Arabidopsis thaliana: one gene and its partners. The protein of the gene in region 1 interacts with the protein of each later gene in a pairwise test. Each region holds a gene or a part of one and is shown on either strand. Other genes may lie near its edges. The genes, in order: GLR1.3, CPK1 and GDU2.

Region 1 (10,612 bases):
TGGATCGAGCTCTTGAATACATAGAAGAAGCTGAAAAGGTATACATTTATCCATGGAACTTCTATTTTCAACGGTCCTAGTTGGATCTTTCAACTCAGAATTGCTAACTAGTTTTCTGTCTCTGCAGCTTGAGCCCAATATTGCTTGCTCCTTTCTTAAGGTAGACTGTCTTTTCCCCCACAGTACATGCTTATTCAACATATGGCCTTCGGCTACCTCGCCATATATATGTATCTGGAGATTGTTTGAGAAAAATTGTTTCAGCAACTTCTCTTTGCTTCTGATTCTTGCAGTTCAAGATCTACCTGCAAAAGAAGGAACACAGTTGTGCCATTGGTCAGATCGATGCAATGACGTCCTGCCTTGATTTTTCTCCAGATTATCTTTCCCTTTCAGCGCATGAAGCTATTTCTTGCCAAGCGCTTCCAGTTGCTGTTGCTTCTCTTTCCAAGTTTCTCAGTTTCTATATCTCAGGAAAAAAAATGCCAACCACAGAGGTTGTGGTCTTCCGTACCTTAGTCACTATATTGACTCAAGACATTGGCAGCGAAACCGAAGCTCTTAACTTTATGTTGCAAGCTCAGAGCAGGGCTTCTAAGCTTGGGACAGAGTGTTTCTTTGGATTAGGAGAGACTGGAAAGCGAGAACAGAATTGGTTTGCTGCGACTTGCTGGAATCTTGGGTCAAGGTGTGGGAAGGAAAAGAAGTATGAGCTCTGTGGTGAATTCTTGAGGCTGGCATCTGAATTTTATGGCTATATAGATACTGATGAGTCTGGAGAAGACAAACTGATGATTTGCAGGTCCATAATACTAAGTGTCACCGCTATGATTGCTTTGGAGAAGCAAACCAAGAGCGCACTGACTGAAACCCAAGTGAAACTTGCTGCAGAATTGCTCGTGAGAGCAGGAAAGGTCTTATCCTCCTCTTTATTAATATTACCTGCAGAGTTTTACCTTTCAGTTTCACTGATGTTTGGTTATATATTTGCAGATTATGTCTTCTTCGCTCTCAGATGGTAAAGATTGTATCATGGAGCCAGAACTCATCTTTATGTACACTTTACTTGCGTATGACATACACGGAAGGCTCAACAATTCGGCATTCCAGTTACTTGTGGTAAAGACGTTTGCTGGTTCCAAGTCTTGTCATTACAACTATCTTCTCCAACTTGGAATTTTCGCCTCTCAAAGCCCTCAGTCCAACCCGGACGTGTCAACATTTGCTCTTAACGAATGCCTATCCGCTCTGATCGCATCTGCTTCACCAGAGTACCCAACCATAGCTCTTATAATCAGGAAGCTGATCTCCATAGCCAGCGTCCACAAAGGCGATACAGACGATGAAGAAGCAATCTTAAAGATGTACAAACAAGCATACAGAATCATGGTTGGGTTGAAGGAAGGGGAATACCCGACTGAAGAAGGGAAATGGCTCGCAATGACAGCTTGGAACCGAGCAGCGTTGCCCGTGAGGCTAGGACAGTTTGAGACCGCTAAAAAATGGCTGAGCATCGGGTTGGAAATCGCTGATAAGGTTACAGGTATGGATACTTATAAAGCTTGTATGCAGGATTACTTGGCTGGTTTTCAGACCAAAGTTTCTTCTGCTTAGTTTCATTCATATTAACTGTCTCATTAGTTTAAATGTCCATGAAATAAATCTGAGATATAGAATTGTTGAAGATGTTTAGTTCATATAGTACACACTAAATCCCCTAGAAAAACTAATTAAAACATGTAAAACTATATTTCTAATCGCTTCTTGCAAACAGAATCTGCTCTAAGACATATTCATCTCTCATGGGAATTATGCAAATCTTACTAAGATCAAAATTCATTTGACCGTAGATTTTTATGATGGAAAGAGTTTGTGGTCGTGTAGAGTTATTAAGAATTCACTTAGTTTTAGGTGGAGGCCTAAACTTAAGAAAGGACATAAGATACTGACTAAGTTTGATCATATGAGATCGTTTACTTTTGAGATGAAACGACTTTCACAATTTTCCTCTGCTTCTAGATTTATATCTGTGACCGTCTGATTATATAATCCTTGGTACTTGTTGATTAGTTCTTGTCGGCAAAGGATAATACTCTCCAAAAGCTATGGGATTGAAAGGTGTTTGTTTTCTTTTGCTTAAAATTGACCTTTGACAAATTCTGTCCAATAGAATCTTCATTTTTCATATTGTTCTTCTTACTTTCGTAACTAAAATAATAACTTTGAGAGAAAGATAAGTAGCCAACCTTTAGTACTCCACAACGAAATTTCTCTTAAATTGTAATCGGTTGACTAATGTCATCCTCCTAAAAATTTCGTTAACTTTGAATTTCTCTTTTTCTTCTTACGATTTTCTTAAATATATGTGAATAGAATAGAGAAAATGTAAAACACGGCATGTGTAGGCTATAACTGTTTATATAAAATAATAATAATGATGTGTAAAGCAACAAACGTGAGGTCTCTCCTTCCTCTTTAGTTGGAAAGAATTTTAATGGTGAGAATTTGTATTCAAACCCCAATTTTGCTATCGTTTCTTCTTGTTCTGCTTTTCTTCATCTCCAACTGTTTTGCTTCGAGTCAAAACAACGATGATGATAAACGGATTCGGGTCCGGGTCGGGTTGGTTTTGGATTTGGGTTCCGTGGAAGGGAAGATAGTGCGGAGTTCTGTTTCCATGGCTCTTTCTGATTTCTACGACAATCACAATGACTACAAAACAAGACTCTCTCTTTTAGTCAGAGATTCTCATGGAGAGCCTCTTCTTGCTCTTGATTCAGGTAACATACTCCATTACTCTTGCACCTCTCTATATAAATCACCTTTTTCTCTTTATCCATTTTTGTTTTGTGATTATTCATACACTCACAATCTTTGTGAATGAAACAGTTGTAGATTTGCTGCAAACAGAAGGAGTGCAAGCAATAATTGGCGGGAACTCGTTGCTAGAAGCGAAGCTTTTGGCGGAACTTGGAGAGAAAGCTAGGGTTCCTGTGATTTCACTTAACTCTCCCATGTCATTGTCATTGAGCAAATACACTCACTTGATCCAAGCCACACATAACTCTGCCTCTGAGGTTAAAGGAATTACAGCTTTCCTCCATGGGTTTGATTGGAACAGTGTTGCTCTTGTTTTAGAAGATCACGATGACTGGAGAGAGAGTATGCATTTTATGGTGGACCATTTCCATGAGAACAACGTTCATGTACAGTCCAAGGTTGCTTTTAGTGTCACTTCGAGTGAGGATTCTTTGATGGATCGATTACGGGAGCTTAAGGACTTGGGAACAACTGTCTTTGTTGTTCACTTGTCTGAAGTTATTGCAACTCGTCTCTTCCCATGTGCTGAGAAATTAGGGATGATGGGTGAAGGGTTTGCTTGGATTCTTACTTCCAGAAGCATGAGCAGTTTTCATGATCAGTTCATTGACGATTTAACAAAGGAGGCAATGGAAGGTGTGGTTGGTTTCAAGTCTTATATACCAATGTCAAAAGAGCTTCACAACTTCACTTTGAGATGGAGAAAAACACTCCCTGTTGAAGAAGTTACTGGGAGTGAGATTACTCGGTTGAGTATCTCTGGCGTATGGGCTCATGATGTCGCTTGGAGTCTGGCGAGTGCAGCTGAAGTGACAAGGATGCCAACTGTGACATCAACTCTCCTTGAGGCCATAAAAGAAAGCAGGTTTAAGGGTCTGAGTGGTAACTTTCAGTTGGATGATATGAAGTTGTTATCAGACAAGTTTGAGATTGTGAATATGATAGGATCAGGTGAGAGAAGGGTAGGATTCTGGAATTCTAATGGTAGTTTCAGCAATAGAAGACAATTATCTTCTACTCATGACAATCTGGAGACCATAATTTGGCCCGGTGGGTCTGCTCAAAGTCCGAAAGGGAGAAGTCTAAGAGAGAGCGGTAGAAAAAAGCTTAGGGTTCTTGTTACATCTAGCAATAGATTCCCAAGACTGATGAAAGTGGAGACTGATCCAATAACACATGAGATAACAATTGTCGAAGGGTTCTGTATAGAAGTCTTTCAGGCATCCATTGCACCTTTCAACTATGAAGTGGAGTACATACGTTGGCTCAATGGAACTAACTACACCAAGCTTGCATATGCACTTCATAGCCAGGTACTAAGCATGGCTCGATTTTACAATTGCAAGTACTTTTAAAATTTGCGTAGACTGTGTGTGGGAACTGACTTAATTCCATTGATAATTTTTGTTGCATCCCTTAGAAAGACAAATATGATGCTGCTGTGGGAGATATTACAATTACTTCCGATAGATCGATGTATGTTGATTTTACGTTGCCATACACTGAAATGGGTCTTGGAATTGTAGCAGCAAAGGAGAGAAGTATGTGGGTGTTCTTCCAACCTCTAACACCAAACCTTTGGATAACAAGTGCAGCTTTCTTTGTCTTGACGGGTATTATAGTTTGGTTGATAGAAAGAGCTGAGAACAAAGAGTTCCAAGGATCTTGGCCTCAACAGATTGGAGTTGTGATTTGGTTTGGCTTCTCTACCCTTGTTTATGCTCATCGTAAGTACCTTTTCACATTCTTATATACCAATTTGGCCATAAGAGAAGAGATTGTAGTGATGCTTACCTTTTGTTGCTTACTCTGTGTGACAGGGGAGAAGCTACAACACAACTTATCAAGATTTGTAGTTACAGTTTGGGTATTTGCGGTGCTCATATTGGTTACAAGTTACACTGCAACATTGACATCAATGATGACGGTGCAACAAATACGATTCAACGCCAATGAAGATTATGTGGGTCACCTCTCGGGATCCCTCATCGCAAATGCGGCCCTCACCAATTCCAGCCTCAGAGCAATGAGATTATTGGGTCTCAATACTTCAGAAGATTATGCTCAAGCTTTGATGAATAAAAGTGTCTCATATATTGTTAGTGAGTTGCCATACCTGAAAATCCTCCTTGGCGAGAATCCTGGACATTTTCTCATGGTCAAGACACAATCTACCACCAATGGTTTTGGCTTCGTATGTATCCTTCTTCTGCATCATCAGTTGCTTTACTCTTGATTTTACTTGTTGAAAAAGAAATGTTTGGTTTGTTATACTATGTTCCAGATGTTCCAGAAGGGGTCCGAGTTGGCGCCTAATGTGTCCCGGGAGATTGCGAAGCTGAGGACAAGCGAGAGGCTAAACGAGATGGAGAGAAGATGGTTTGATAAACAGCTTCCATACACAACCGATGATACATCAAATCCTATAACCCTATATAGATTCCGTGGTTTGTTTATGATCACCGGAGTTTCATTCGCTTTCGCTCTTGCAGTACTTCTCATTCTTTGGCTCCGAGAAAGATGGGAAATCCTTGTGAATTCGGTCAATATATACTTCTCACAACGACTTAGACATTTCAGGATCCTCTTCACAAGAACTATCCATCCTAGTCCCCTCGGCCTCGATAACCCCATTGGCGAGAATGCGGTTCAAATGGCTCAACGTAACAGACGATAGGAAATGAGTAACATAGAGAGAAAACAATTGTTGTGATGTGGTACGTCTCTGACTCTGACCTTGGAGCAGCAAAGAAGATCCTCCAGTGATCCACTAGCTCCTGATCCAAGCCGGCTTACGTCTGAAAGTATAAATGATTGTTATACCAATTTTGTAAATTATAGTGTGATCATATTCGCAACCACTTTTGTAAATAGCAAAAAGGTATTGGTAATATATTGAGTTAAAATTTAACACATTTAGTTTGAGTATTTTTTGGAGAATATGATACTTTTGCAAAGAAAAAAATACTTTAATTCTTCATTTTATAAACCTTAAAAAATGTACCAAACTTTAATCAGTATGTAAAAGACTCGTGCATTTCGTTTGTTGGTATTTGTGTTTAATTTCTTCCATCAATTTATTTGAGATGAGACGACTTTCACCATTTTTCTCTGCTTCTAGATTTATATCTTTGACTGTCTAAATTGTCAAATCCCTTACACTAAGTACTTTTGTTGATTTGTTCTTGTCAACACAAGTTAATACAACCCCAACAAATATGGAGTTTTTAACCAAAAAAAAAACAAATATGGAGTTCTACGTGTAAAAATTTCAGATTAAAACACATTTGTTCCTACGACCGTTGACAAATGTTTTTTTTTTTTTAAGACAAATGATTTTTTTCTTTTGCTAAAATTGGTTAGTTGACAAAATTTTATCCTATAGAATCCTTTTCGAATTTATTCCGTATTTTTACCTTTTTACTTTCTTCACCAAACATTTTGATAGATTTAGTCAGATTCTCTTAAATAATGAAATGATTTGAGAGACAAAAGAGTAGCCAAACTCGATAGCCCATACCGAATTTTACGTTGACTAATGTAATTTTTCTTAAAATCATGATGTCATCATCTTAAACTTTGAATTTTTCTTCAAATATAGTACGTATGTTAATTTTTAAAATTGGAATAATTAGACAGATGAAAAACAAAACACGGCATGGGTTTATATAACAACAAAATAAAATAATGACTAAAAGCAGCAAACGTGGGGTTTCTCCTTTCTCTCTAGTTGGAAAGTTTTTTTAATGGAGAGATTTTGTATTCAAACCCAAACTTTGCTATCGTTTCTTCTTGTTTTGCTTCTCTTCATCTCCAGGTCTTTTGCTTCTACTAAAAACGACGACGTTGATGGAGGTAAACGGGTTCAGATCCGGGTCGGGTTGGTTTTGGATTTGGGTTCCTTGAAAGGGAAGATAGTGAAAAACTCTGTTTCCATGGCTCTTTCCTATTTCTACGCTATTCATAATGATTACAAAACAAGAGTCTCTGTTTCACTCAGAAACTCTCATGGAGAGCCTCTTCTTGCTCTTGCTTCTGGTAAAAACACTTCTTCTCTACAAAAACTCTCTTCTTCTCTGTCTCCATTCACACTCACAATCTTGGTTTTCTATCTCTTGTGAATGAAACAGCTGTAGATCTTCTGAAAACTGAAGGAGTAGAAGCGATTATTGGCGGGAACTCGTTGTTAGAAGCGAAGCTTTTAGGGGAACTTGGAGAGAAAGCTAGGGTTCCTATGATTTCACTTGACTCTCCGTTTTCATTGTCATTAAGCAAATACACTCACTTGATCCAAGCCACACATGATTCTACCTCTGAGGCAAAGGGGATTACATCTTTTATTAATGTGTTTGATTGGAACAGTGTTGCTCTTGTTTATGAAGATCATGATGACTGGAGAGAGAGTATGCAACTTTTGGTGGAGCATTTTCATGAGAACGGTGTTCGTGTACAGTCCAAGGTTGGTTTTACTGTCTCTTCTAGTGAGGATTTTGTGATGGGTCGGTTACAGCAGCTGAAGGACTTGGGGACTACTGTCTTTGTTGTTCACTTGTCTGAAGTTATTGCAACTCATTTATTCCCATGTGCTCGGAGATTAGGGTTGATGGGTGATGGGTTTGTTTGGATCCTGACTGCTAAAACTATGAACAGCTTCCATGAGAACATTGATGATTTCACAAAGCAGGCAATGGAAGGTGTGGTTGGTTTCAAGTCTTACATTCCAATGTCTATAGAGCTTCAAAATTTCACTTTGAGATGGAGAAAATCATTGCCTGTTGAAGAAGCGGAGCTAACTCGGTTGAGTATCTCTGGCATATGGGCTCACGATATCGCTTTTGCTCTGGCGAGAGCAGCAGAAGTTATAAGGATGCCAAATGTGACATCAACTCTCCTTGAGGAAATCACAAAGACTAGGTTTAACGGTTTGAGTGGTGATTTCCAACTAAATGATAAGAAGTTGTTATCAAACAAGTTTGAGATTATCAATATGATAGGATCAAGTGAGAGAAGAGTAGGATTCTTGAACTCTAACGGTAGTTTTAGTAATAGAAGACATTTATCTTCTACTCATAACAAGCTTGAGACCATAATCTGGCCAGGTGGGTCTGCTCAAAGTCCGAAAGGGACTAGTCTAATAGATAGCGATAGAAAAAAGCTGAGGGTCTTGGTTACATCTAGCAATAGATTCCCAAGACTGATGAAAGTGGAGACTGATCCAGTAACAAATGAATTAATTGTTGAAGGGTTCTGTATAGAAGTCTTTCGCGCTTCGATTAGTCCTTTCAACTATGAAGTTGAGTATATACCTTGGCTCAATGGAAGTAACTACGACAATCTTGCATATGCACTTCATAGCCAGGTACTAACCATGTCTTACTTAAGTGTTTTATATTATAACAAGTATTTTTTTTTTTTTAATTGTTTTGTGTTGCATCCCACAGAAAGACAAATATGATGCGGCCGTGGGAGATATTACAATCACTTCGAATAGATCGACGTATGTTGACTTTACGTTGCCATTCACTGAAATGGGTCTTGGAATTGTAGCAGTAAAAGAGAGAAGTATGTGGGTGTTCTTCCAACCTTTAACACCAGATCTTTGGATAACAAGTGCATTTTTTTTTGTCTTGACCGGAGTTATAGTTTGGTTGATAGAAAGAGCTGAGAACAAAGAGTTCCAAGGATCTTGGCCACAACAGATTGGAGTTGTGCTTTGGTTTGGCTTCTCTACCCTTGTCTATGCTCATAGTAAGTACTCACCTTTTCACATTTATATATGCCAATCTTGTTCAGAAAAGATTGTAGTGATCATGCTTACCTTTTGCTGCTTATACTATGTGTGACAGGGGAAAAGCTAAAACACAACTTATCAAGATTTGTTGTTACAGTTTGGGTATTTGCAGTGCTCATACTGACTGCAAGTTACACTGCAACATTGACATCAATGATGACGGTACAACAGATACGATTTAACTCCAACGAAGACTACGTGGGTCACCTTTCCGGCTCCCTCATTGCAAATGTGGCTCTCACTAGTTCCAGCCTCCGAGCAATGAGATCATTGGGTCTTAATAGTGCTGCAGATTATGCTCAAGCCTTGTTGAACAAGACTGTTTCATTTGTTGTTGATGAGTTGCCATACCTCAAAGTTGTCCTTGGCGAGAATCCAACACATTTTTTCATGGTCAAGACACAATCTACCACCAACGGTTTCGGCTTTGTATGTATCCTTCTTCTTCATCGTCATAAGCTTCTTTACTCTTTCTTTACTTTTGACTTGCTGACATAAGAACATGTTTGGTTTGTTATTGTTATACTATGTTTTAGATGTTTCAAAAGGGCTTCGAGTTGGTGCCTAATGTGTCCCGAGAAATCTCAAAGCTAAGGACGAGCGAGAAGCTAAATGAGATGGAGAAAAGATGGTTTGATAATCAACTTCCATACACAACCGATGATACATCAAATCCTATTACTCTTTACAGATTCCGCGGTTTGTTTATAATCATCGGTGTTTCATTCGCTTTCGCTCTTGCGGTACTTGTCATTCTCTGTCTCCGCGACAAATGGGAAATTCTTGTGGACAATCTAGACCTCTCACAACGACTTAGACATTTCAGGATCCACTTTGTAAGATCTATACATACTAGTCCCCTTGATGACCCCATTGGCGAAACTGCGGTTCAAATGGCTCAACAAAATAGACAATAGGAACTGATTAGGGTTAGATCAAAAGGTCCACAAACAATCTTTACTTGTAAATGACTTACATATCAAAGTATAAATGCTGTTTAGACCAAATCCTTGCTTGTAAATTGTATGATCAAATTCAAAACCACCTTTATATAGTTGGTTCATATATGATTAGTGTCTTTCAAATGGTATGGTTCTCAAAAAAAAAAAAAAAAACAATTAAGGTGGAACCAACCGAATCAATTTTTTTTTTTTTGTCACAAGAGTGTCCATTTTGTTATATCAACATAAGCCAAAGTTTGAGACAAACAACAGAGCCAAATTCAACTAAACATAAGTGTAAGACTTTTCAAGCCCAACTATGAAGCCCAAGTAGGAAACCGCATCAGGAAGAAAGAAGAATCATTGAAACAGAACCTAAAACACGTGTCATGAAAAGGTTAGGTGCTGAAGACACGTGAGAAGAAGAAGATCGGAGAATCACTGGTCGCCGCCGAAGAAGATTGTCGACTCCATTGAAACCCAGAACGCCGCGATATGCATGTTGAATCCGGTGATAGCAATTGTCAATTCCAAAGCTCTAAAAACAAATCTTCAACTTCATGGAAATTCAACTTCAAAATCTTCCCAATTAAACGTCAACGGTTCACGAACTCAAGCATCATATTCATCAATCTTATGTTGGAGAGAATTGTGTTTAGGCAAAGACGAATCACCTAAAACCACAACACTAACATAGATCGCATAATTTATTCAACAGAAAAAACAAAAAGCGGCAACAGATAGCCGAAACAAAGCCGGACCTCGCCGGAGACAAAGCTGAACCATACCAGAGACAAAACTAGTAAACAAACCGGATGGAGAAACAAAGATCGTGTTCCTCTCTCTGAATAATTGAAGAGAGAGAAGAGAGAGAAATTGATCTTTTCCCCTTCCAACCGAATCAATCTAATATCCGGTTTATTGACATTAGTTCCAAAATCAAAATCAAACCTAGTAAGAAATCCGAAATGCCGGTCAGTTGTGGGCTTTCAGTTTGGGCTGGGCTAATAAAATTAATGAGCCCATAAGCTTTTTCAAAGAGAAGAAAGGAGAAGAGAGA
Region 2 (10,612 bases), about 18 Mb from region 1:
ATAAGATTTTTAATGTACACGAAGGATAAGTTAGGTATGTCCTAATTCATAAAGATTTAGCTGCTAAGTCCTAACCATATGTCATTGCCTTAAAGTTAATACAGTCCCTACACTAACTCATGCTCCCATGATCCTTTTTGCTTTTTACTTCTTTTGTAATGGAAAATAAAACCACATTTTAATCCAGCGTAAAAAAAAAAAAAATCTTATGTGATGAGTATTTTTTTGATGTTGTGACAAACACGTACATTCTAAAACAATATGAGGTTTTTAGGGTTCGATATTTTGAGTTGCATGTTTATATATATGTGTAATGTGTTGTTCATTTTTCATAGGAACTGAAAATCCCGAAAAAAACTAACTTAATACGTACAATGATTCATTTTTCAATAAAAGTTAGAAAAAGTAAACTAGACTACTTATATTTTTCAAATATAATTAACACTTTAAACAAGGACCAACATATTTAACAATTAGACCCCTACACAAATAAAACTTTATGATACAGTAATCATGATCACGTTTTGTGGACTGAAATTAGGAAATTTAAAAGGGATAGGGACGCAGTTTTGAAATAGACAATTTAATCAGTTTATTTAAATAAAACCAATTTAATAATTTTATAAATTAAAAAGTCGTACCCCAAAATAAACATTTTTAAATGTCAACAACAAACGCAAGCTTTAAATTATTTATTTTTGGAGAAATAACTTGATTGTGAGACCCACTTTTATATTTTTCCTCCATTTTTTTTGTTGTTCTAAAGAGTAAGTTAGGTATTTATGTTGACCAAAAACACTAGCTAAAAGATCATTTTATTCGTTTTTTCCAATCATAAAAAAGAAATTAATTATGTAAATGGAAAATAAAGATCTCAAAATACTACGTGTTTAGGATTAGGAGGTTTGGTGGCTATTATTTTCGGTGACCAATTTAATTATCTGCTTATAATTTAATTTGATTTCAGCTTAGATTCGGTAAGGACTTGAATTATATAATTCGGACAACAAATTAATTGAAATTCGGTTAAGTTATTTTATTTCTCAAAAAAAGAAAACTGGGAAATTACATAGAAGTACCTCAACTTTTAAACGATTTTCACATAAATACTCAAACTTTTTGCTTTACAAGAAAAAGCCCTCACAAAAATTTGATGATCGTTATCGCAAAATTTCCAAATCGTGTTCAAGTTTTTTGACTCTTTGAATTTACTTACAGACAAGAAATCGTGGTTTGTAATGTTAGAAGACTATATATGCTCAAGAAGTAACACAATACAACAAAGTTTCCAAAACAAGTCTAAGACAAAACCTCATCCAAAAGATTGAGAGAATCCAAAAGAGGGCAAGAGAGAATCTTGGCTGTGTGCATATGTCTTCAACATAATCAAAATGGTATATATTATCAGAAAACTCTTTTGTCTTCTTGGCTTTAGTTTTGTACTTTTAAATAGACTGAGAAACTAGAGTTTAAGAGCAATGCTAAAGCTTTTCTCTAGACCCATTTTCACAGGTCCTCCTGTGATGCTTCCTTTCTGCATCATCGCCACAAACTCGTTGTAGTCTATTCGCCCGTCCTACAATACAACAATTCAAATGTTCAACATTATCAACATTCAACCAATATATCAATCCAAAACCGACATGAAAACTCGGTTTACTTCACTGTTTCTCAGGAAAGAGAGTTTCTACTATCCCCCTAGGTTTAACAAGAATCATACTCAATCGTCTCAGTTTTCCCAAGAAAACAGACATGAAAACTCGGTAAGTGAAGTGTAGTTTTAATAATGCAAGGATTTAAGAGGATCATATAAGTGAGATTCCTATGAGTAAAATGTATATAATCCATTGAAATTTGATCATTGTTGAGAAGTATTCAAGTCATTTTATAATTAGGATGAGATGATAAAAGGTGTAAAGGAACTTACATTGTCTTGATCAACATCGCGCATCAGTTCTTCTATGCGGACATCCTCAACACCAAACTCCTCACAAGCTTGTTGAAGCTCGTCTGGGGTGATATAGCCGCTCCCATCTTTGTCAAAGTATGTAAAGGCTGCAAACAAATGGTCCTCTCTCTCTATTTTGTTTAGATGTAATGTTGCAGCTATGAACTCTTTGTAATCTATTGTTCCGCTGTTGTCCACATCAGCCTGAATTATATACACATGAGAGAGAAACCAGATTACTTGCATATCTAGCAAAAACAGAAGTATATAACCACAACCAACAGAGTAAGTTTGAATGATAACAAGATCAGTTCAGAATCTTAGTTAGGGAACTGGTATGCCGGTTAAAACTTACAGCTTGCATCAAGTCGAGAATTTCAGACTCTTTGAGATTCGCCCCTACTCGTTTTAGTCCTGCTTTCAGTTCTTCGAAAGTTATCTGACCACTCTTGTCCGCATCTATCATATTAAACATTTCTTTCAAGCCGGCGATTTCTTCTTCAGATAAGCTCTCAGCAATGACCTGCAAAAAGGCATAAAGAGAGAAACTTAATCTCCGTCGTCTCTTTCTTTCCACATAACAAGAGGAAGATGGGTTAAATGTAGCTATCTTATGTTTATGACAGGAACTTCTTTTATATGGTTTTAAATTTTGTTTAGCATCGGAAAGCTGCTTACTCTAAGAGCCATTTTCTTGAACTTGTTCATTGCAGAAAACTGCTTCATACGGCTCAGAACAGCAGAATCCAAAGGCTTGTCTGGAGCCACACCGTCGACTTGAACCCATGGATGACCTGAGAAGAAGCACAACTCCATAAGAGATAGAACGATGGTAGATCACTCTACATGACAACACACTTTATTCATGTAGTGAAATCTATGCTCAATGGAATTAACAGAAAGAGAATCACAGCGCTTTAACTGGAAGAGAAGGTTTCAGATCAAAATAACTTACATAATACTTGGTGGGCAGTTAACCTTTTCTTGGGATCCCTGACAAGCATTTTCCTCACTAAATCCTTTGCACTTTCAGATATACTTGGCCATGGATCGGACGAAAAGTCAAGATCACCGTGGAGGACCTGTTCGAAAATACCTTGTTCGGTTTCTGAATGTTCAAAGAAACAAAAAGATTAGAGATGTTGTTCAGAGCCTAGTTAGGAAAAGTGACAAATCTCTTATCTGTATATATACAATTCTTACCAGCCCAGAATGGAGGAACTCCGCTTAATAAAATGTACACAATCACTCCAGCACTCCAGACATCAGCTTCAGGGCCATAACGCTTTCGAAGAACTTCTGGGGCAACATAATATGGGCTACCAACAACATCTGTAAAAACATCGTCTGCAAAGAGGAAGGGAATCGAGTTCAGAAATAATTGTTCGACAAGGATCACACTATTCACGTTAAAGACCAAATCTGGAAGTGGATCTTTTAAGATGAGTAACAATGAAATCAAACCTGGTTTAAAGAACATGGAGAGTCCAAAATCAATCGTCTTCAAGAGGGAATCTTCGTGTTTACTGACAAACAGAAAATTCTCGGGCTTGAGGTCTCGATGCATAACACCAAGAGAATGGCAAGCCTCTACAACCCCAACAATGGTTCTAGTGAGCTCAGCCGCTTTCCTCTCTGTGTAGTGACCGCGTTGAATGATCCTGTCAAAAAGCTCGCCGCCTGCACAACACTCCATTACAAGGTGCACTGCCACAACATCCTCATAAGCTCCTTTGATGGAGATGACATTAGGGTGACCAGCCAAGTGATGCATTATCTGAATTTCTCTTCTCACATCCTCAACGTCCTCATCAGTCAATAGCTTCCTCTTAGCAATCGACTTGCAGGCAAACTCCTTCCCCGTAGTCTTCTCGACACATAAAAAAGTCGTCCCAAATTGCCCTTGTCCGAGTTTCCTTCCCAAGGAATAGAATTCCTTGAAGTTTTCAGTCTTCCTCTGCAACACTGACTCAGTCCTAAGCCCTGCACTTGACACTCTCTTCATGTGTTTAGGCTTCTTAGGTTTAGCTGGAGGATCAGGTTTTGACTCCGGCTTGGTCTCTGACTTGGTCTCCTGCTTAGTCTCTGGTTTGGACTCAAGGCTTATCTCCTCTAGCGTTTCAGGCTTGCTTTCAGTTCGAATCTCTCTGTCCTTGGTCTCGACGTCAGTCCCTGGCTTCGGCATTGTGACCTGTTCAGGAGGTTTATTCTGGACTTCATCAGATAATCGAGATCGAAGCTCTCCCGAAACAGCTTCACTTGCAATATCTCCATTACTCATGGAAGCCGAATCATCTCCATCTCTTGGCCGCCACATTGCAGCTGAAACAGATTGCAAGAAGCCATTTCTGCTTGGTCCAACACAAGTATTACCCATTCCCTAACTTGTCTTAAATCTCTTTCACCAGAAATAGCATCAAGATCTGATTACAATAACCTCAAAAACAATCTAATCTCATTACTAATCTGATAAAAGTCAAATCCTTTCGATCTTAAAACCATCAGACATCAAACCTCGGACTTCTCAGACGATTGAATTTCTACACAGCTGAACTGATAAACCCAACTTGGATGAGGAGAAACAGCAGAGAGCTTGCTTATACAGAGGTGAGAAATAGCAAGAAAAATCAAAAGGGTATCGGAAAAATCATGACTTGAAACAAACCCAGAAAATAGAAAGTCACAATGAAGGAAACCAAACAGAGAGTAGAAAGCATCCCCAGATAACAACAACAAAGAAAGAAACAGAGAGATCTGAAGAAGAGTAAAGAGAAAGAATGAGAAAATAAATTGAGTTGGGTGGGAAAATAAAAGGGATAGTTTAATAGCACTACACTTGCATAAACCGTAGGGACATTTGTTAATTTAATGAGAGAGTCAAGGTCTGTATAGAGAAGAAGACGATGAAGAAAGACGAAGAAGAAGATTGAACCAGTTTGAAAAACGCGTTTCTTTTGTTTTGATTATCTATCACCGCCGAGTTTTCCGCTGAGATTTGTCTTAACTCTCTTTTTAATTAATCTTTGATTACAAAGTCCACCACCCTCTTCAATCTTGGCAACGCAGCTTCTTATGTAAGGGTACTTAATTAGTAATATATTAAAACTTTGAGGTAAAAAGGTGATTTTCCATAAAATCAATTTCCTTTCTGGAGTCCTAATAACATCCTTTTTATAATGGTCCCATCATTTACTACTTTTGAAAAATATAACCCGCAAGTGAAAAATGCGCAAACAAAACCCACATATTAAAGAGCAGTCATTAAAAATAAGACATCCACATGTTAAAGCTTGAACAAATCACATGCTCTACACATTCTTGTCTTCGCCCTTATGTTTTACCCTAATTACTCCTTCCGACCACAGCTATTATTGAAGATCAAAACCTAGACCAGAACTAATATTGTAGAGACGGCGAGTTTGGTGTTCTAAACATCATGATCACCACTTTCCATTGTTTTTGCTGGTCCTAACGGAACACTCAAGCACCCTTCCTTTTTCCAGTAGATAAGCCAATGAGATGTCCCTACTGCAATAGAACGGTATGAATCTCTGGACACTCTGTTATTGATTTGATATGGAAAGAATGCTTGCCTAAAACAAAAACGAAGCTCACTATTGTTATCAAGAGATGGTGGTTTGAATCAGTATTTAAGAAGATATGATTTGTGGCAAAGACGCTCACTATGATGTGTATGAGACTTGGTTTGATGTAGTGCAGTATGTTCTGATAGTAGATTATCAATCATCACAACAGCGTTTTTTGGTGACAAAAGTCTGTTCATTGCCTCTGCCACGTCCTGATCAAGTAAACATCCAAGGACCTCCAAAAACAGATGATCCTTATTACAGAGATTCTCAATCTTTTCCGTACTTGTTCCTTGATTGATCCTTTTCACTATGACGAAATTAAATTGACAACTGTTTCCATATCTTGCTATGAGGAACAAAATTTCCTAGTCATGACTATAAAATGAAAAGTAACCTATTCGGCATTCTGTTTATGACACTAATAGAGAACAAGTGTGGGAAAGGGAAATGACGGTATTCAAGTGTGTGTCTTCCATTGACCGGAAAATAAGGTAAGAAAACCCTCACCTTTCTTATCATGTGTTGCGCTTGGAAATGGAAGAATCTCTTTATGCTTCTTTTCGCCACCTCTAAATCCTCCAACTGCATGAACACAATTCTATATCAGATATATGAGTGTGCACCATCAACTAAGTAACAGTCCAAAACCATCTAACTGACTAATGCGCGAAGACACCTACATTGGCTCAATCTTTGGCTGACCAGGTTTTCTGTTCCTAGCATCAAATACTATATTCTCGAGAAAATCCATATTGCTAACACCAGGGATCTCAACTGGAGTTTGGAGACTCAAGAAGAGAACCGCAAGAGATCCTTACATATCATGCAGATGCTCGGCTTTAAACACAATGATTTATGAGAGGGGTACGAGTAGAGATACTCTAGGAATCATATGTTTCAACAACATGAAGATTGAGAAACTTACCTTGAAAAAATGTGTTCATAAGCAAAAAACTTACGAGCCTCAACCTTTCATAATATTAGTTAGGAAATATCAGCAATGATGCAAATGATTCACACAATTGGAATTAGTTAAGCTTGTCAGAAATTTTAGCTAATGCTCTCTTAGTACAGAAATAATATCCAATAGAATCACGGCTAACAAACTTCACAACGTCTATATGTACTAGTGTTTCATTAACATGAAAAATCTCTCCTTTCTTCCACAATTCAACAATCACAAGCACTTAAATCCCTAACCTCAATCAAACGGCTCCTATTCCCGTCATCATGATCCGAGGATGGAGACAAAGTCGACAGAAGAAGAATCGGAGAGGAAAAAGGAGAGCTTTTTACGGCGGTGGATACACAGAGCAGCGACTCAGAAACCTCGCGAAGGCTTATGAGGAAGATACAGTAGAAGCGTATTGAGCAGTTCAGTGTTCGCAACGGAGGCCATAGAGATAGACGAAGCGGCGGCGGGAGGCGGAGAATCGCCGGTTTAGCGTGAGATAAGAGTCGAGGAATCCGATTCTCCCGCCTACTGACACGTGTCCAAGGTACGTTAAAGCAAGTACGATACTTTTCAGTAATAAAAAAAAGTAAGAAGTCAAAAAAGAAAGAAACTTTTTTAAAAAACTAAAACGACGCCGCTTTGTTCGTCGTTATGCATCATTATGCAGTGTAGACTGGTACAGATGTTTTGTGGAAAAACGTGAGCCAACCCCACGTCCCAATAAAAACAACACAAAACCGCATCAACGTCTTTTAACACTCTCTCTCTCTTTCTCAAATCTGCTTAAAAGCGTTTATTAACTACTCTTTATTTTCTCATATAAAAATTCTCAGCGAAGAAGAATCAGATATTTTCTGGTCTTGCTCTGCCTAACTCTCACATGTAAGTTCTTCTTTCTTCCTCCATTCTCTACTGTTGAATCTTGCCTTTTTCCTTACCCCCAATGTATGCTTCTTCTTATTTCTTGTTTTCTTGGCTAGCTTGGTTCTTGGTTTCTTGTATGAGGCTAGTAGCTTTATAATGATTCGTTTGGAAAATAAGAAAATGAGAAAGTACTTCTTACGGATTCGTGTGCTTATTCAATCTTTTGTTGAAATTCGAACAGTAAATCTTAAAAAGCTTGCTTTTATTTTTGCTTTTTTTCTTCTTTCTTGTCACTGATGAATAACGAAGTTGCTTTTTTGTTTTCTTGGTTGGCTGCTGATAAGCACCAAGGTTTCACAATTTTGGGGGTTTCTTTTTTAAGCTGACAAGTGACAAGTCTTTCTTATCTTGAGTTTCTTCCGTCTTTGTTGTTTTGCCAGAGTTTCCCCTGTTACGAAGATGAGCAGAGATTCAGTAAGAATCGTTGGGGTTCTTCTATGGATGTGTATGTGGGTTTGTTGTTATGGGGATGGAGAGTATCTGTTGTACAAGGACCCGAAACAGACGGTGTCAGATCGAGTTGCGGATTTGTTTGGTAGAATGACTTTGGAAGAGAAGATTGGCCAGATGGTGCAGATTGATAGAAGTGTTGCCACTGTCAACATTATGAGAGATTACTTCATCGGTATGTAAAAGAACAATCTTTCTTGGAGATTTCCAGAAATCTGATTACTTACTTGCTTGGCTAGTTTAATTGGTTCATTTAAACCTTATTTTGGGCATCTTGTATGGTTTCCTTAGAAAACTGGTCGGTGCTACTGGTGTTGTTAGGTGAAATGAGGATATCATTCAGTTTTTGCTTTCATTGAACTTCAGTTTCTCATCATCTTGTTAATAAAGAACTAGATAAGCTGCGTAACTTGACTTGGTATTGAGTATCTGTATTTGTGAAACTTGAAAATTGAAGTTGTCTGTTTGTTCTGTACAGGCAGTGTATTGAGTGGTGGTGGGAGCGCTCCACTTCCTGAGGCAAGTGCTCAGAATTGGGTTGATATGATAAATGAGTACCAAAAGGGGGCTCTAGTTAGTCGTTTGGGAATTCCTATGATATATGGCATTGATGCCGTTCACGGGCATAACAATGTCTATAACGCTACTATTTTCCCTCACAATGTTGGTCTTGGAGCCACTAGGCAAGTATTAGCTAAAACGTTTATTCGATCTTGCATGTTTCCCATCTCTGTTTCTGTGAATGCTGTCTATATTTCTTCTGATGATAGATTTGAGTTTCACAGGGATCCTGATCTTGTTAAGAGGATTGGAGCAGCAACTGCAGTCGAAGTCAGAGCCACTGGAATCCCATACACATTTGCTCCTTGCATTGCAGTAAATTTTCTCACCGTCTGCCTAACTTTTATATACCTGGCACTCTTCATATCATTGGTACTTTGGACATTTGTTAAAGTTGTTACCCACTCGCTTTTTGTAGGTTTGTAGAGATCCCAGATGGGGTAGATGTTATGAGAGCTACAGCGAGGATCACAAAGTCGTGGAAGACATGACGGATGTCATACTTGGTTTACAAGGAGAGCCTCCTTCCAACTATAAGCACGGAGTTCCATTCGTTGGTGGCAGGTAAGGCTTTTGTTAATTTGGTTCGGTTATGATAGCCTTACAAAAGTATGTTCGGTCTTTCATGCGTGTTATTTTGATAGGGATAAAGTTGCAGCCTGTGCCAAGCATTACGTGGGAGATGGTGGGACAACCCGCGGAGTAAACGAGAACAACACTGTGACTGATTTACACGGTCTTCTTAGCGTTCACATGCCCGCTTATGCTGATGCAGTTTACAAAGGTGTTTCCACAGTGATGGTTTCATATTCGAGCTGGAATGGTGAGAAGATGCATGCAAATACTGAGCTGATCACAGGGTATCTTAAGGGTACCCTTAAGTTTAAGGTCTGCTTACTTATCACAACTTCAACGCACATTCTCTGTGTTCTGGCAGTAGTCTTTCTGAATGAATATTTCTCTTTCTCCATGTATTTTGTAGATTCTTGAATAGAACATATATATAGCATGTGTGAGTTCTTAGATGAAGGAGTTGATTTTGAATGTTAATTCCAACTTATCATCTCTATGATGTGTGCAGGGTTTTGTTATCTCGGATTGGCAAGGTGTCGATAAGATTTCCACACCACCGCATACGCACTACACAGCTTCCGTCCGAGCTGCAATTCAAGCTGGAATTGATATGGTTAGTGTTTCATACTTCACAGACATTCCTGGACTGAAATAGGAAATTGTTACTCATGTTTGTGTTAGCTAATGAAATAATATGCAGGTCATGGTCCCCTTCAACTTTACCGAGTTTGTCAATGATCTTACAACCTTGGTGAAGAATAATTCAATTCCTGTCACTCGGATTGATGATGCTGTCAGAAGAATCCTGCTTGTCAAGTTCACCATGGGTCTTTTTGAGAACCCTTTGGCTGATTACAGCTTTTCCAGTGAACTAGGAAGCCAGGTCAGTTGCCTAATAACCCTGAGCTAGAATCTGTTGCAAGTACTACAAAGTCTTGATGGAATGTTCTCAATTTATATTAGGCACATAGAGACTTGGCAAGGGAGGCTGTTAGAAAATCCCTTGTGCTACTGAAGAACGGGAACAAAACCAATCCTATGCTCCCACTTCCCAGGAAGACTTCAAAGATCCTAGTCGCTGGCACTCACGCTGATAATTTAGGTTATCAGTGTGGTGGTTGGACCATAACTTGGCAAGGATTTAGCGGTAATAAGAACACGAGAGGTACGTTCTGCAACTCTTATTGCAGATTATACAAGTTCTATCATCTTGTCTGTGACTGTTTATGCTTTGTAAGTTGTAACAAATATCTTGTGACTGTTAATAGACTGTACCCTTTCTTCTGATTCAGGGACTACACTTCTTAGCGCTGTAAAATCAGCTGTTGATCAAAGCACTGAAGTTGTCTTCCGCGAGAACCCGGATGCTGAATTCATCAAATCGAACAACTTTGCTTATGCAATCATTGCTGTTGGTGAACCTCCATATGCAGAAACAGCTGGAGACAGCGACAAGCTAACTATGCTTGACCCCGGTCCAGCGATTATTAGCTCCACTTGTCAGGCTGTCAAGTGTGTGGTTGTGGTCATTTCAGGTAGACCACTTGTGATGGAACCTTACGTTGCCTCGATCGATGCATTGGTTGCAGCATGGCTACCAGGAACAGAAGG
Region 3 (10,000 bases), on another chromosome or scaffold:
CCCTTATATATAAAATTAAGCTTAAGAAATTGAAAAGCATTTATCTTTTGGAACCCGAAACCCTTTTAAGCAAAACAAGAAAACACAAAACACGATATAGTACGAAGAACCCTAACAACATATAAACATTAAACCACCTCTGTCTCTCATGAAGCCCATTCTTGTCTAACACGTCACCTCCAGTAACTAAGCAGCTATTCACAGAAGCTTCCTCAAACCAGACCAGGCACTTGTTGTGCAGACACGAGTACTCATTTATCAGAAGTGCGTCCAACGCATACTTGTACATTGAGAAGAAGTACATGAAGAGCCAGTACTTGGGAAGACTCTCTTTAGAGATGAAGTAACCAGAGAACAAGAAGAAAGCCGCAAGAAGAATGGTCACTGAAGATGTTCCAGCAATGTAGTTAGGTGCGAGAGAGCTCAAGAAAAGTACAAAAGAGTTAGCCATTAGGACAATGATCCAGATTACGAGCACAAAGTAGGCGAGAGCTTGCCATGAAAAGCAGAGTCCTACAAGGAAATAGAGTGAGACAGAGTAGATGATTGCGATGAGTAGCAAGTATGGCAAGAAAACCAAAGTGTTTGCAAGAATGTGAGAGGAGAGTCTGTAGAGTCCGCTTGAGGTTTCTCGGAGAAGAATAGGTCGTTCATCAATGAATATTGGAAGGGTTTGGGTAGTGGAGGAGAGGAGGAATGTGAGGGTGAATGCGAAAAGGCCAAATCGTTTCCTGATTCCTTCTTTGCCAGTTCCGATATTAAGGTAGATAGTGCCTAAGACAAGACCGACTACAAGAGATTCTAAGATGTTTGTTAGAAGCAACTGCCTTGTACGGTATATGATCTTCCAAAACCTGCTAGAGAGAAGGCTTATTTCGGTGATTCTCGAGCTTTTATATCGAACAATGCTCTGTTTTTGGTTCTGTTTTTTACTTTCAGGGCAGTGGTCTGGAAGAGCAATGTTGGCGTTTTCGTAGGGATCACGGATGTTCTGAAGTATCTCCATAGCGTACTCAAGAGAATTCAGCTGAGAAGGAACCGTGAATCCCTTGGAGAGCAAGAATGCTTCAAGTAAGTCAAGCCTTCCATGATATACAATGGTTCCTTTAGAAAGGAGTAACACGCGATCGATGAGAGACAGGATCTTGAAGCTAGGTTGGTGTATGGACAAGATCACGATCCTTTCTCTGGACGTCGCAATAGATTTGAGAATTTGAACGACATCGAAAGCGGATTTACTGTCTAAACCCGAGGTGGGTTCGTCGAGGAGTAGTACTTCCGGATCATGAAGAAGACTTAGACCAATTGAAACCCTCCTGCGTTCACCACCGGACAAGCCTTGACCTAGTCTTGTATGTGCAAGATGTGTTAGGTTTAGTTCTTTGAGGAGAGAAGCAACGACACTGGAGACTTTTGATAGGTTTTTTGGGAGCAAGAGAGAGGCGGAGAAAGTGAAGGTCTCGGAGACGGTGAGGAGAGGGAAGAAGGTGTCGTGTTGAGGAACGTAGGAGGAGATTTTACGGTAAGAAGAAGGGTTAATAAGGACGGAGTTTAGAAGTATTGAGCCTGAGGTCGGGGAGGTTCTTGCGGCAAGGATATCAAGGAGAGTTGATTTTCCGGCGCCGCTAGGGCCAATAATGGCGAGGATTTGGGAAGGATGAGAGGTGAGAGTGATGTTGCGGAGGATGAAGGAAGGTTGCTCCGCCGTGAGGAGGAGCGGTGAAAGAGGTTTGGCGTAGGAGATGGAAGAGGTGGATAAAGTGTACGACTCCATTTTGAGAGAAATGTTTAAAGGTTGGAGAAGGGAAGTGAGTGTTGTAAAGAGAATTTATTGATGCTTGAGTTTGGAATGTTTTGTATTTTCCAATGAAATTGACAATTTTTCAGTCTTTTTTTCTTTCTTATTTGTTTTTTGACCTTTTGGTTAATTATTTTGTCTTTTCTGTCATTTTGAATTTTGCGTTACATAGAACTCATCGAATATAATTGTGGTCAAACGGTGATGTAACCAGGATGCGACAGTAAGACAAGAGAGAGTCAGATATTGAAGAGATCATTAGAGATTCAAGTCCAAATTAAGATGGAGTTATTAGTGAGAAGGTGGATCCAGAAGAAACGAAAATTCTTAGATATATTCTCATAAAGAAAGCTTGCTAACAGTTACGTATACACACATTTATTGAAAACATGTAAAGATGGATCAAATGAATATGCATGTGTGTCATAGTGAATATATATTGTTGAGAAACTGAGAAGAAGAAAGCCAAAGGGGAATGCAGATAAAGGTCACGGGCCTGCTGACAATTATTACACAGAAAATTGCAAATCACGTACAAGTCTATTTCCCAATCTCTGCATCTTCCTTTGTTTGTTTGGCACACAATTTGCCAAACCATTTTTACAATTACATATTAATGACGTGACCAGTCCTGGATTTGAAGGAGTTTCTATAAAAACAATCTGGCTTAAACGTTAGTTAGTTATAGTTACTTGTGGTTGCTTTTACTTTAGGTATATCACCGTACATGCAAATGAATAAACTTTAGGAGTTAATAGGTGAAATAATTGTAAATGGTACAATTTCTTTATCTATGAAAGAAAATATTCTAAACAGAATTTGAATCATATTATAGTAACTTGTTATACATATCACATATGTGATATGTTTATATAGTTTGTTATACTAATAAAGCATTCTCTTCACTTTCTTTGGCCATCAATATATCCGTATCTCATGTTGTGTTTTTCCTAAATTTCTACACATAATAAAAAGTAGCATGTTGTTTCAAAGCCCCTTAACGGGTACAAAAACAAGAACAGAGTGCAGGGCTAAACAGAAGAAAATTGACATTAGGAAATCAGAAATAAGCCCATTTGAATGTGGATCAATATTGAAAAAAATGTGTGAAAAGCAACTTGCAATGTCACAAGATAAATATACCATGCCGTATATATCATAACTGCAAGAACAGACCCAAAACTGAAAAGTGAAAAGAATGTGTGTGGGTAAGTTAAAGAGTAATGAAGGCCGACAGGCGACAGTGGAGGAGGATGGACCAGACCAGGGTGCTGGGCGATGAGGACGTCTCGGCTAAAAGCTGAACCACCCTCCACTCTTAGGTCCCACAAAGGCTGGTCCTCGTTCACAAATGTACTCTCTCAAAGAAACACCCCTTTCTGCTTTATTACTATTCCCTCTCGTTCCTCCACTTTTTTGTAGCAGCTTCCACATGAATCATGTCATAACTGTTACAACATATTCCAAAAAAAAAACTATAGAATATATGTAGGAAATGTTAATCACTCTGTTTTTTTTGTATCTTTACTCTTTGTTTCTTCTCACTAGATACCGTCCTATACTTCTATTAGTGCATAACACTTCCTTAGACACTTGCTTTTACACTTTCCAAAATTATTTTAAACATGTATGTATATGATCATGTCGCCATGGTTGACGATATATACAATTATTGTACTTTCATCTCCTTTTCTCATCTTTTCTTTCAATAAACCTTATTTTTATTACCATATCTTCTCTTTTTCTTGCTAGCAAATGTTGATTATTTTATTGTAATTAAACTGTTGTTTATGACTTAATGTTCAAACTTCAAATAACATGTGTGAACTGTGAGGCATGCAATAATGATATTTGTTGCATATCTATCAGTTTTTAAAAGTGTCATCATAGCTCTATAAAGCTGTCTATTTAAATTAGATATACCTATCTCAAGTTCACTAATCCGTATCTAAAGAGAAAGAAAAATATCTTGATAACTAAAAATGAGTTTTAGAATGTACGGAGATAAGTTCTGAAAAAAACTGAACGAGCCACCTTTAAAAGTAATTAGATGAAGAAATAAACACAATTTGAAAAACTACATGAAAGCTAATCTCTGACTTGAGAAGTTGAGATATTTGGAACCTTTGTTAATTCTTTCAACACCGAAAACGATTTCTTAGGAAATTTCAAAAGAAATAAAAGTAAAGAGGGCAAGTATTCTGATTGTTAACCAAGCACAAAATGAAGCACCCATCAATCAATCTTTTCAACAATCAACATACCGATTCTAATTGGTCTGGCAGAATAATTACCGGAAAGGAAGAAGAATAGAACTCCAATATTTAATTATCGTACTTAATCTGTTTGTTCGAGAAACTAAATAATGGGTTCCTAGGTATATGTATTTATTTTATACATTATCTTCACATGTAACGTGCCTATTTAACGAGAATATGATTCCCTATGATTCATGCACAAACACAAATCAAATCCGGAATTTAAGTCGGATCAGGGAATAAATTATACAGCCCACACACATAATAATTTAAAACTAATATATACACAGTGAGGGGATTTAAAAGTAAAACTTATCTCCAAAGATTAATGTAAGCGACTAGTGATTGTGTTGGCATATTAACCGCACATAACATTGTTTGGGGGTTTGGATGCTTTAAAAAAGGTTCTGCCTTAGAAATTCCTTTTAGTTGACGTAATGATATATTATTGCTTACTGTAATACTAGTGGACACATTAAACAATGATCTTAAAGTACGAATGAAGAAATTAAAGAAAATGGAAGAGGAAGAATGTGGAAATGGAGAACGTAAGTGAAAGTGATTGGAAACTAATGGAATATCCGTTTTTCCTTTAGTCATGGTGGAAGCTGACGCTGAGAACCTACCCCTCCAATTGCACTACTCGCTCTATTACTTTATCTAACCAGAAGTTTTTTAAATACCCTTTACTGTATATAGTTCTTACAGTTTTATACATATTGTTAAGAACTCCATATATAGTGTATAAATGGCATTGAAAATAGTTTTGAGTTGAAACTCCTAAATGATATTAAATCTTGAGTTTAACCTAATTAAGCAAAGTAATAAAAACTGATTAGCCAAAACAAAGAGGTTAGTTAGTTCAACAGTTAGGTTAATGTGCAAATTGCCGTAACAAGATTATTAAATAATTCTTAACTTTAATTAACCTCTATCCATTATTGCATTTAAAAGATACTATTAATTAAAAGCCACCAATAAAAATTTAAACTTTATTAAAGTACTAAAGACGGATATATTAAACAAAACAATTATGAAAAAAATAAGAAAACCAACTTAATACAAGTTCAAATTAACATCCAAAAGAAGGAAATATACATGATTTTACAAATGTCTTCATTGAGCCACCACGTTAAACTAATATCATTTTTGAGGTTGATTAAAAAATTATTCATGTAAGTATAAATGCAAAAAAAAACTACATCTCTATATCAAAAACCAATCAATTGTTTACTCCATTATGGAAGATGATTCCCTAAAAAATAATTTCGTTAATACTCACTCTACAAAGTACAAATAATGAATACTGACTTTTTTCATACATTCCAAAAAAATACTGAAAACTGAACCATACACAAATCCATTGCATTAAGAAACAATCCATCCCATACGTTCCTCTATAAAACGCCTCTCACAACACAATCTCATCTCCCACCAATAAATTAATTACTTTTTTAACAAAGAAAACTTTCATTTCATTCACTCTTCCCAAACAGTAAAACACACATGCAGACAATGGAAGGACGACAATATAATTACCAAGACAGCATAAACGCGAGCTCCTCCATGGTGGTGCCTCACTCGCCTTGGCACTCTCCGGTTCCTTATCTCTTCGGTGGTTTGGCCGCCATGTTGGCTCTCATCTGCGTCGCTCTTCTCATCCTCGCATGTTCCTACTGGAGACTCTCCGGCTCCGCTGAGAGAGATCTTGAGGCCGGAGATGATGCCAAACCCGACAATGACACCAACAAAACTAAGCACACAGAAATGCCGGAGAAGTTTCTCGTCATAATGGCCGGTGATGTCAGACCTACTTACTTGGCTACGCCAGCGACTCGGTCTGAGCAAAGCTGTACTTGCGGCGATCATAACGAAGAAGAAGGAAGAAGAGGGTAGTGATCAGGTGGTATAGCAGAGCACCGGAGGTTACGGTGAGCCCTCCCTCATATTTTGAAAACAGAGCATTCGTTACGGAGTACTCCGGAATCGATCCGTCCGGTCTTTTTGTGTCGGTTCATAATTACGCCAACCTTACGTGAGCTGATGGGATATAAATTAGAGTTTTATTTATTTCGTATGGTTTTAGTTTTTTTTTGGTTGTCTCAGTTTTCTTCAAATTTTTCCCGTTTATGGTTCATGAAGGAATATCCGGTACATGTAAATTTTAAGAGTTTGAATAGATGATTGTTTTGGACTAGCGATTAAAGATAGAACTGAAGCTTGACAGACAAAATAAATAAAAGATACAACTAAAATCGTGCGTCCTTAATTCAGTTTTCGTGTATAGAGAGACAAAAATGTTTTCCCAGTGAGAGATGTACAGACATGATGCTTACGAAAGAGGGAAAGAGATGTGTTGTGAAAACTTCTAGTGATGTGCCAACAATGACGCATGCCGAATATTAAGCTAATTCGTTGTGGCGAACCGAAGTTGAGAATTATTCTCTTTGTACCTTTATTCCTAAATTTCTAGATATATTACTAAATATCATCAAGTTTTATCAAAGAACAAATAGCCTCTCAACTATACATTTCTCTCTTTTTTTCTTTTCCAGGCATATCCATTTATCATTGTTTACCATTCACTGAAATTGAAAGCATTATCGTTTATCGTTGGACAATAAATTGTCGTCTTTTGGATGATCAGTACAATGTGAACAGTGACACATATAATGGATGGAGACTACTGCAACTAACTGAATAATTGTTTTTCTAGTATGGGCAATTGGTCACTGGTTGTGTCATGTGTTTACGTCCTTTCGTTTTCTTGTCCAATTCCTACTATGTTTATTATGTGAACGTGTCAAAACAAACGAGCTCGCAAATGATGCCAATAAAACTGGAAAACCAACAATAATTGTGGAAAAATCGACATTCAACTGGCGCCAAGTCTTATGATCAAAACAAAAACTTATAGAATCGATAGTGACAAGAGAAGTATGAACCTTTTTTTTTTACAAAGAACGGGTAGATCTGTACAGATTCATTGTTCGACAGAACTATAAAACATTTTAAATAACCATCAAGGAAAAAGTGCCAAGAACTTTACCACGATTTGTATCGCATCAAGCATCATACTAAATACGATATAAATAACCAACAAAAAAGAGAAGAAGTTTGTGATGCTTATCGCCTTCTTACAGTGCTGACTAATTGCAGCGGTTGAAAATGTTTAGGGCTAGAGACCGAAATGATCCATCATGTGGAAGACAACATCTTTGCCATCAGAATGTAACCAATATGTTTTCACCTACACATTACAGGGAAAATTATGTCAAATGCTCTTAACAAAATCGCTTTTGAGTTTTGAGTTCTTATCATTAAACTTGCCTGGATGGTACTATGCGCGACGTATCGTTGCTTGCTATTGTGAAAGCTGACATCTACTCTTTCCCAAGATAGTTGACTGAGTCCATGTATCATTTCCTCTACATTTCACAAAAACCATAACAGGACGAAGTTAGTGATTCTACTTGTTATAAAGAAGACCAATGGGTAATAGATAGCGAGGCAAGGATCTACCACATTCCATAAATCTGATAGAGATATCATTTTTTCTAGCAAATTTTGAAAAACAAATAGTCAAGTGAGAAATAAAGCAAAACCTTCAAGATCAGTATCTTGCTCTGTTACTACTGTAGAAGTTGACTGGCAACTACCATTGTCCACATTTCCACGTTCTACGTATACAATGTGTGGATAGTTTGGATCCGTTGCTAGAAGATTTGGCTGGAAGATGAGCAGGGATAATAGTTATTGATAAATCCCACAACGTCATTAAAGATGTGCACAAAATATAATAAGTAAAGACATACCTTTGGGAGTTCATTTGGACGGCGAATTGAAGATGTCCTCCATCCAACCATAGCTTTCTCATTAGTTAAGGCAAACTCTTGTAAATGATAGAAATAATCAAAAACCATTGACAGTCTCTTTAAAAACATGTTTTTTTCAGGGAAGGATACAATCAAAATTCACGTTTGCATATGCCACACGACGCTTGAAAGCATTTAAAGCTGATCTGTTGAGGTCATAAGAAGAGATGATGAGCATATCAATCTGCAAGTCACCAATGAAAACACCCAGAAGCTAGAGCATTTACATGAATTTCAAGTCATCAGAATCTGTAGCCATCCGGATAAGAAGTGGAGCATTTCCATCATCGTTGTCCACCAGAAACAAATGCTTTCCGGTCCTCCCAGCAGCCAAATGTGCAGTTTGGGATGCTGTTCTTTCAAGAAACGGAAGGCCACAAAGAATCGGGAACTGAGGGAATGAAGACAAGAGTAAGCATGTCATACAGATTACAGAAAGAGATTATCTATATATATATATGCAAACCTTACATAAACATTTGACCTAGGCATGCAGTCTAAAACATCAATTCACCTGTCTATGTCCTCTTGAACCAAGATGAGGCGTTGCGAAAGTTATAAAGTTCATAGGTTCTAACCCAGCAATTTCGCCTCCTCTTGCGCTCTTCTCCTTCGAAGGAGAGTCCAGAGAGTCGACTTCCCCTGGCTGTTCATAGAGCTTCCCTATGGCATATCTTGCAACAAGACCTCCTAATGAATGAGCCACAAAAGATATCTTCTTCAGCCCACTTCTATGCTTAACAACACCCAAAACCTTCACAAATTTTCAAACATAGAAATCAAATTTTAAGTTGCAAGTTACAGAGGAAACAACAATGCATCCAAATACTACCTCATTAGCTAGCCTTTCACCCATTTTATCAACACCATCAAATGTCAACGTTGCACTATTACTCTCGCTACCTGCTTCATCCAATTTCATCATCAAAATCAAACAAATCATAAAATTACAGAGTAATCAAAACCACAATATCTATAGGTCAAGAAACACGCACGGTGCACTAGTACTTTATCCGGGAACTTCTTCACGAACTGCTCCGCCGCATATTTCCAATCCGCCGCACTAAATCATCATCCAACACAGAATTAGCACAGTCTTTAACCCAAACTATAGTAATCTGTAATTCTAATTGAAGCTCTTTGATTTAGTCTACCTGCCAACGATTCCGTTAACCATGACCACCAAATGATCAGGCTTCTCCGCAGACTCCATAACATCCGCATCGAAAAAGTCTTCTCCGCCGTTGTCGATCTCCGTCGTCAGCTCTCTTTTGCTTCGATTCGCCGCAAAGCAACCGATTCCAAGACGATTCATCCACTCCATTTGACAGAGATTCTTAGGTTGAGCTGGAAATTGAAGGTATAATCTGAAACGGAACTGGTTTTGACTAGGCGGAAGAAATCGCGGTGAAGACGGAATCAAATCGGGGATTGAGATTTGGAATCTGGAGAAGGACGCGATCATGTGGAAGTAAAAGGAACACAATAAGAAGGAAGTTATCTTCCTGACTAGCAAACTGATGATGACAAGTCGCTTAACTTTTCCGGCGAAGAAGTGTTACAATTTGCGGGTTTTGCGGAGGCGCTAAGCAACAGTAGCGGTAACATAGAAACACTTGGTCAAAATAAGTTTTTAAAAAAAATATTAATAGTGGATTGATAATAAATTAAAAACTATAAGAGGTTAATGGTGTTGTTATTAACAAACAAAAAAACTTTAATTTTGGAAGACTTGCAAAAATCTACACTAAAATGTAGAGATTTATCAACTACTATTAGTATAGGATAAATAGTAAATAAAAATTATTTCATTGCAAGTACATCTAATCTCAATATAAAATGTAAAGATTTATTTCATTAAAATGTCTGGATTTGTTTTCTTTTCTTTCTTAAAAGTAAAGCACATTTAAATCAATTATTTCAAGTTACTCATTTGATTATTCATATTGCACATGTGACATGTATGACAAAAAAAAAAATCTCTTTCACATTAAAACGTGTAAGTACTAATTAAGTACCAATAGAATCTCTTTCACATTCTTTTGATTTCCAATTTCGATTTGGCTTAA

What was found.
Region 2: the proteins of GLR1.3 (region 1) and CPK1 interact in a protein complementation assay, tested with the Arabidopsis thaliana proteins (one large-scale study listed by BioGRID).
Region 3: the proteins of GLR1.3 (region 1) and GDU2 interact in a protein complementation assay, tested with the Arabidopsis thaliana proteins (one large-scale study listed by BioGRID).

What each region holds. Positions count from the first base shown.
Region 1 is NC_003076.8:19,613,750-19,624,361, forward strand, and holds GLR1.3 (glutamate receptor 1.3), read left to right. Parts: upstream 1-6,517; 5' UTR 6,518-6,566; coding exon 6,567-6,858; intron 6,859-6,950; coding exon 6,951-8,179; intron 8,180-8,261; coding exon 8,262-8,568; intron 8,569-8,666; coding exon 8,667-9,040; coding exon of another isoform or gene 9,041-9,109; exon of another isoform or gene 9,110-9,147; coding exon 9,148-9,528; 3' UTR 9,529-9,676; downstream 9,677-10,612. Other genes in the region: AtSPO22 (Tetratricopeptide repeat (TPR)-like superfamily protein), read left to right, coding at 1-38, 128-160, 294-914, 994-1,614; ATGLR1.2 (Glutamate receptor family protein), read left to right, coding at 2,495-2,780, 2,890-4,133, 4,241-4,547, 4,641-5,014, 5,105-5,497.
Region 2 is NC_003076.8:1,415,553-1,426,164, forward strand, and holds CPK1 (calcium dependent protein kinase 1), read right to left. Parts: upstream 5,003-10,612; 5' UTR 4,326-5,002; coding exon 3,413-4,325; intron 3,296-3,412; coding exon 3,152-3,295; intron 3,057-3,151; coding exon 2,904-3,056; intron 2,743-2,903; coding exon 2,627-2,742; intron 2,472-2,626; coding exon 2,304-2,471; intron 2,153-2,303; coding exon 1,928-2,152; intron 1,577-1,927; coding exon 1,463-1,576; 3' UTR 1,012-1,462; downstream 1-1,011. Other genes in the region: AT5G04885 (Glycosyl hydrolase family protein), read left to right, coding at 7,514-7,545, 7,798-8,042, 8,346-8,550, 8,653-8,743, 8,847-8,992, 9,073-9,316, 9,510-9,614, 9,702-9,884 and 2 more. UniProt on the Arabidopsis thaliana protein: May play a role in signal transduction pathways that involve calcium as a second messenger. Phosphorylates the Ca(2+)-ATPase ACA2 resulting in the inhibition of its calcium activation.
Region 3 is NC_003075.7:13,110,587-13,120,586, forward strand, and holds GDU2 (glutamine dumper 2), read left to right. Parts: upstream 1-5,441; 5' UTR 5,442-5,562; coding exon 5,563-5,952; 3' UTR 5,953-6,369; downstream 6,370-10,000. Other genes in the region: ABCG4 (ABC-2 type transporter family protein), read right to left, coding at 41-1,774; AT4G25770 (alpha/beta-Hydrolases superfamily protein), read right to left, coding at 7,303-7,484, 7,662-7,785, 7,872-7,924, 8,022-8,077, 8,159-8,322, 8,446-8,685, 8,764-8,834, 8,927-8,994 and 1 more. UniProt on the Arabidopsis thaliana protein: Probable subunit of an amino acid transporter involved in the regulation of the amino acid metabolism. Stimulates amino acid export by activating nonselective amino acid facilitators.